2 linked regions of the Canis lupus familiaris genome follow. The protein of the gene in region 1 purifies or fractionates together with the protein of each later gene. This does not show direct contact. Links are inferred from orthologs where the notes say so. Each region holds a gene or a part of one and is shown on either strand. Other genes may lie near its edges. The genes, in order: RAD51 and SQSTM1.

Region 1 (2,638 bases):
TTTTATGGCCCTATCTTGAAATATTCAGCTTATACAAAAATAATTCCTATAAACAGCACAAATAACTACTTTATTAGCAGCCCCACACTAAATCTACTTAAAGAGCCTCTGAAATACTTTGAGATTTCAGAATTATCTTGAGTTACTCTTAGTAGTTAAAAAACCAAGCAAGTAGACGGTAACGGACTGATGGCCCAGTAGGCTTGTTCTGTAGCCCTTAACTAAAAACAAACTTTTAGGGATCCCTGGGTGGCGCAGCGGTTTGGCGCCTGCCTTTGGCCCGGGGCGCGATCCTGGAGACCCGGGATCGAATCCCACATCAGGCTCCCGGTGCATGGAGCCTGCTTCTCCCTCTGCCTGTGTCTCTGCCTCTCTCTCTCTCTCTCTGTGACTATCATTTAAAAAAAAAAAAAAAAAAAAAAAAAAAATAAAAACAAACTTTTACCTAAGATAATTCAGGCAAACTAACTTAACCTGCTTCTGATGGAAAGAGTTTTACTGGCAGAAGAAAAAGAACCTGTGAGGAGACCCACTTTCTTTGCCACTTAGGCATTTTAACATTACCCAAACAGAAAAGAATCCAGTCTTCCCAGCTTATGTCTGCAAGAAAACCAAAGATTGGCCAGTAGGTAGCTGTTAGTCCTGAATCAACCCCAAGGCACTATGTCAAAGGTATTCCTTACTTCCCCTGAAATAATTCACATAGAAATCAATACGCTTCAGTCGGAATAAACATTTCAGATCAGTCTGTGACTACTGACCTGTCTCCTGTTAATACCATCAGAAAAGCCGATACAATAACCGGTTTTCCAGAAGCCTTTTTCTGGCAGTCACAACAGGAAGAGGCCTATGAAGAACCCCAGGGAGCAGTCCTCTTCATTAGGCTGCAGCACTTAAGGTTTCTCACAGGACAACCCCCAATGCTTCAGTCTTTGGCATCTCCCACTCCATCTGCATTGATGGCAAACATAGCTTCAGCTTCAGGAAGACAGGGAGAGTCGTAGATTTTGCAGATTCTGGTTTCCCCTCTTCCTTTCCTCAGATACAGCCTGACCCAAAGAGACAGACCAGTTATTATAATTTTAAAATCTTTTTCCTATTCATGGTAGATCTAAACTTCTTCAGACTTAAATACTTCTTAGGACTTTGGGGGAATCTTTCTGTATTCTTTAGGGGTATTTCCAACCTGGAGGAATCCACGCCTACTCTGCCCGCCCGCCCCTTAGTGGATTTTCCATATTGAAACAATTACTTTCTTAATAAGGGAGAGGGATATCCTTCATATTCATTCTTGCATATTTGAGGGCTTTTAATTCCTTTATAAACTAAAAGCAAACATACACACTAACCAGAGCATGACAGTTCTGTCTAGCCAGGGACTCCTGGGTCTAATTATACAAACATAGCTTTAACTGGTTTTAAATGGAAATGCTGTATCTTCATGTCTACTTTCATTAATATGACATTCCAAGACAAAGTCTCCTATTCCATCACTTTACCTGGTTGTTGAGGCATGAGCAATGATATTTCCTCCAATAGGTTTTTTAGGATCTGCAGCAAACATGGCTGCTCCATCCACTTGGGCTACCACCTGGTTGGTGATTACCACTGCTACACCAAACTGACAGAGAAAGGATAAATGTCATTTTTTTGTGGCCAAAGGACCTTATTGCTGCCACCCCTTTCTCCACAAAGTAATGAATGATTAATATATCTCTTCATATCTGTTATCTTTATGACACTAGGCTCTGACGTTCTGGCCTCCCAGCAAGGCCCCTGAAAATTGGGCATTCTCTGTCCCCATTCCCCAACTTACCTCATCAGCAAGTCGCAGAAGCATCCGCAGAAACCTGGCTAAGTGCATCTGCCTGGCAGAAAGCTCCCCTCGACCTGAGTAGTCTGTTCTGTAGAGGGCAGTGGCACTGTCTACAATTAGCAGTGCATACCTATAGGAAACAAGGACTCTATGAAGCCTATTTCGAGCCTGTGTCAGATTGTGCTCCCTTTCTCAGTACCTTAAACTTTCATATTCGTAGTTACACTCATACATAAATGTTTTATTAAAATATTTGTACAGCATTCATGTCTGAGGCACTATATAATAAGTAAAATTTTCAACCAGTTCAAGAGAATTACGGCTTCATTTCTTAGTGACTTGACCCGAACCCCAACACAACAGTGTCAGACTAAGAAGGACCAAAACTTAAATCTTCCCATTTCTTTCTTTCTTTCTCTTTTTTCTTTCTTTTTTTTTTTTTTTTTTTTTTTTTTGGTAAATTTATTTGACAGCACAAGCAGGGGAAGTGGGAGAGGGAAAAGTAGACTCCCTGCTGAGTAGGGAGCTGGATCCAGAGCTCAATCCCAGGACTCCAGGAGCATGACCTGAGCTGAAGGCAGGCACTTAACCAACTGAGCCACCCAGGCACCCCCTTAATCTTCCCATTTCTAATTCAAGTTATCAATTTGGCCAAATAGTCTACATAAGACTTAGGGTTAAGGGCTCTAGGCCATATTCAGTGTCTTCTACTGAGCACATACCTAGATTCTACCATCATGGCTGATGCTTGATAAAGGAGCTGGGTCTGGTGGTCTGTGTTGAACCCTCGAGCATATGCTACATTATCCAGGACATCACTGC
Region 2 (4,245 bases), on another chromosome or scaffold:
CCTCCCTGGGGAAGCACTAGCCACACCTGTGGAGACAGGTCCCTGCTGTGTTCCCATAAGCAAATCGCCTTCCCATCCGATCGGAGAGCAAAGTCCACCCACCCTTCCCTTCTGGGGTTCCCATTTCTTGAGGTTTTCCCTGTTCCCACAAACCCCACCATGAGAGGACATAACGTTGACTCTGCAAGTCTGACTTCTACTCCTAGGACCCCACCTGGGAGACTTCATAGGGTAATGTACCCTTCCCCCACCTTCCTCCAGACCTGTGAACAGGTGGGTTTTGTCACATAAAGCAGTGTTACTTGGTTACCAATAGCTGGAGGGCTATTGGTCTGACCTCTGGGATGCCCACGAGGCCAAGAGGCCTGAGACCACACAGGCCCTTTTGGGCACCACCTGCTGCAGTGAACTCTGTGTAGACAGGTGGGTGACTGGCTGCCCATGGGGAGTCTGTTGGACTGTACCGAACACCTGATGCCCAGCGAGGCTCCAGGAAGCCTTGGCTGGCCCTCTGGCCAGGCGAGGGTGAGAGGACCCTGTACAGTTCAGGCACCTTCCCACCTTCCCCCCATTACACTGGGAGGTCCTCTGATGCTCAGGCCCAAGTCTGCTCAGGCCCTGGTTGCGTCCCTCAACCCAGGAAGTGGCCGTCATGGAGGATGCTGGGGGCGGTGGAGCAGGCGGCCACCCGCACAGCCAGGTGCTTCCAACGGACAGGAGAGCACCTCAGGAGCCCGTGCGTTGGGCCCCTTTGACCCCCGCCCCCCTCCTGCCTCAGGCATCCCCGGCGGCCTCCGTTCGGCTTTGCTGAGTCACGGCCAGGGCCAGGCCCGGGAGGGGTCTGGGGCAGGACCCCTGGGGGGGCTTCCCTGCAGGGGAGGCGGCAGGAGCCCAGCCCCAGGTGCCGGCAGCGTCCGCGGCCGGCCCCGGGGGCCCCGGGGGCCCCGAGGACAGTAACGGGGGGTCGGCCACAGGGGGCGCCGGAGACCCAGGGCCGAGAGCGGAGGGAGGGGCCGACGGAGGGGAGGGGGCAGCGAGCTGGGGCCTCGGCAGGGCGGCTCGCGCGGGGCGGCGCGGGCGGGGGCGCGGGGGGCGGGCCGCGGCGCGGAGCTCCGCCCCCGGAGGCGGCCAGGGCGTGGCCTCCCTCGTTTTCTACAAAAGCCGCGCGCCCCGCGCCGCCGCGGCCCCGCCGCTCCGCCGCTCCGCCGCCCGCCGCCCGCCGCCCGCCGCCCGCCGCCCGCCGCCCGCCGCCCGCCGCGATGGCGTCGCTCACCGTGAAGGCCTACCTTCTGGGCAAGGAGGACGCGGCGCGCGAAATCCGCCGCTTCAGCTTCTGCTTCGGCCCCGAGCCCGAGGCGGAGATGGAGGCGGAGGCGGCGGCCGGGCCCGGGCCCTGCGAGAGGCTGCTGAGCCGGGTGGCCGCCCTGTTCCCGGTGCTGCGTCCCGGCGGCTTCCAGACGCACTACCGCGGTGAGCGGGCCGGCGCCGTCGGGGCGGGCGTCGGGGCGGGCGTCGGGGCGGCTGTCCGGTGGGCGTCGGGGCGGGCGTCGGGGCGGGGGCGGGGCGCTCGGCGCCGCCCCTCCCCCACCCCGCCGTGACGTCGCAGGTCCCGGCGACCTCGCGCTCCAGTTCGGCTCGCCCCGGCTGCCGCCGATCGGGGCTGGCGGGGGCTGCGTGGGGTGGCCCCGAGGGTGCGCGGGAGGCCGGCCCGAGCGCGGAGGTTGTCCGCCGGCGGGAGCTCGCTGCGTTTCTGGCCGCGCGGTGCGCCCGGCGGCCGCTGGGGGTGGGGTGCGGGGTGCCGCGCGGCTGCGGCCGGGGGCGAGGCGGGCAGCCAAGGCCGGCCCCTGGGAGGGGCAGTGCCGGGACCTCCCTCAGGAGCGCTGCCGGCTGGCCAGACCAGCTCCTGGTTTGTTTTTGTGACGACTTTATGGAGCTGTAGTTCACGTCCCATGTACTTCGTCCCTTTAACGTGAACAGTTGTGAGAGACTCGTGCATCCGTGCTCACAGGCGTAGGAAGGAGCTCTGCTTCACCTGGGAAAGGAACTCTGCTGCTTAGTTTTCTCTGTGGAGGTCCCTATTCTGGACGGTCCGTGTAGACGTATATGTGGCACCCCAATCTCACATATTCTTTTGTAACTGGCTTCTTGTAGTCAGCATAACATTTTCAAGGTTTACCTGCGTCCTTGTATATGTCCGTACTTCATTCCTTTTTGTGGTGAATAACATTCCATTTTCTGGACATACTACATTCTCTATCCACTCGTTAGTTGGTGAGTGTTTGGGTTATCACGTTCTGACACTGCCATTGTTCTTATGGTGGCTGTTTTTATGGTGGCTATTGCATCCAGTGGCCCACAGAGCTGGTTCAGCCTGCATGGTGGTACTTTAACATCCTTTGCTAAATCTACAATTAAAAATCAAAGAGTATATATGAATACTTTAGCTTCGTTGGGGGCAGATGTACTCATCTGCTTGATTCTCCTAAACCACAGGAGGCCCAAGGCCTTTGGAGGGGTCATAGGTGAGGATCTCCTACAGTTGAAGATGGGTCTGGGCCCAGGCCTGATCAGATGTGCATGGAGGTGGCAGCTGGCTCAGAGGCAGAGTGGCAGGAAGCCAGTTGCCCCTGCACAAACATGCTCTGTGTCCTCTGGGTGCCCAGGGCCCAACTTGGAGGACTTAACTTGTAGGCAGTGGCACAATGAACAGGCAATCTGGCCTCAGCCCTGCTGCCCACTGGCTCACGCAGGTGTGCTTCGGTTCCTAGGCCCGTGGATACCCTTCTAGCACTTTTCAGTAGCTTGTGTCCCACAGAGAAACCTTGGGTGCTCACGTGCTGTCTTTTAAATAATCTAGATGAGGATGGAGACTTGGTTGCCTTTTCCAGTGATGAAGAACTGACAATGGCAATGTCCTATGTGAAGGATGACATCTTCCGCATTTACATTAAAGGTAAAGGTCTGATTTGGGTGCTGCCTGAAGCTGGATGCTTCTTGCTGAGTAAGACCTGTTTTGAGGTTTTGGAGAAATCCCTTCAAAGTAGTGGAGAAGAACCTGGGAGTGGTTTAAGACAGAATCACCTCTGTGCTTGGCCTGAGAAAGGAATCCCAACGACCACAAGGGGTGGGGCCTGAGGATCTCTGGGTTCTCTCTTGATTGTGCCCAGACTAAGGGGGTAGGAGGGGGCAGCTTTGGGGATACCATGGGGGTTTATTTTAACACGGGGCAGGGCCAAAGCTGTACAGACACAGCTCCCTGCTGCTTGTCACTTGGCCTGGGCCACATGTACCTGGATAACAGGCACGGGACTGGGACCCTCCCAGCAGGTTCTTGGGTCCCTTTGTTGCTGTCCCTCCAATGGCTGAGTTCTGCATGGACTCTGTGTCTGGAGAGCAGGGCCAGGGGTCCTGCTACCTACAAGCTCCACAGTGGTGACAAATGGGAAACTTACAGGGTCCCACCTCATGGCTCTTTGTCCTCCCTGTAGAGAAGAAGGAGTGTCGGCGGGACCACCGCCCCCCATGCGCTCAGGAGGCACCACGTGGCCTGGTGCACCCCAATGTGATCTGTGACGGTTGCAATGGGCCAGTGGTGGGGACCCGCTACAAGTGCAGCGTCTGCCCGGACTATGACCTGTGTGCTGCCTGTGAGGGAAAGGGCCTGCATCGGGAGCATAGCAAGCTTGTCTTCCCCGGCACCTTCGGGCCCTTCTCAGAGGTGAGTGGGGCTTCTCTCCAGGCTGGGGTGGGCACCGGGTGCAGGGAGGCATGCTCTGTTCTGGTGTCACTCTACCCCTCTGCTACCTCCTCTCTAGGGCTTTTCTCATAGCCGCTGGCTCCGAAAGCTGAAACACGGGCACTTTGGGTGGCCTGGCTGGGAGATGGGTCCACCAGGGAACTGGAGCCCGCGTCCTCCCCGGGCTGGGGATGCCCGCCCTGGCCCTGCGGCAGAATCAGGTGAGGCTTGCATTTGTGGGCTACTGTGGCGGGAGCTGTCAGGGCTGGGAGAGCTGGAGGGCCTTTCCCATGTTCTGCGTGGCTGCTGAGCCTGTGGCTGGGGGGGGGGCGGGGCGCTTAATCCTCAGCCTTGCAAAGTGGGGAGTGTCCTCTTCATTTTGCACACAGGACATGGAGGCTCCTGATGGCCCATGGCCACTGATTCACCTACACTAGATTTAGACTCGGCCCAGTCCTAAACCACACCCCATCTTGTCAAGCCTTTTTATTTATTTATTTTTTTTAAGT

What was found.
Region 2: the proteins of RAD51 (region 1) and SQSTM1 purify together in Homo sapiens (affinity purification with western blotting; 3 studies listed by BioGRID). This does not show direct contact. The link is inferred for Canis lupus familiaris from reciprocal best matches to the Homo sapiens genes RAD51 and SQSTM1.

Annotation. Positions count from the first base shown.
Region 1 is NC_049251.1:8,161,505-8,164,142, reverse strand, and holds the end of RAD51 (DNA repair protein RAD51 homolog 1), read right to left. Parts: coding exon 2,539-2,638; intron 1,947-2,538; coding exon 1,817-1,946; intron 1,622-1,816; coding exon 1,500-1,621; intron 1,050-1,499; coding exon 926-1,049; 3' UTR 739-925; downstream 1-738.
Region 2 is NC_049232.1:2,132,529-2,136,773, reverse strand, and holds the start of SQSTM1 (sequestosome-1), read left to right. Parts: upstream 1-1,229; 5' UTR 1,230-1,259; coding exon 1,260-1,470; intron 1,471-2,153; exon of another isoform or gene 2,154-2,271; intron 2,272-2,857; coding exon 2,858-2,953; intron 2,954-3,488; coding exon 3,489-3,718; intron 3,719-3,815; coding exon 3,816-3,957; intron 3,958-4,245. UniProt on the Homo sapiens protein: Molecular adapter required for selective macroautophagy (aggrephagy) by acting as a bridge between polyubiquitinated proteins and autophagosomes.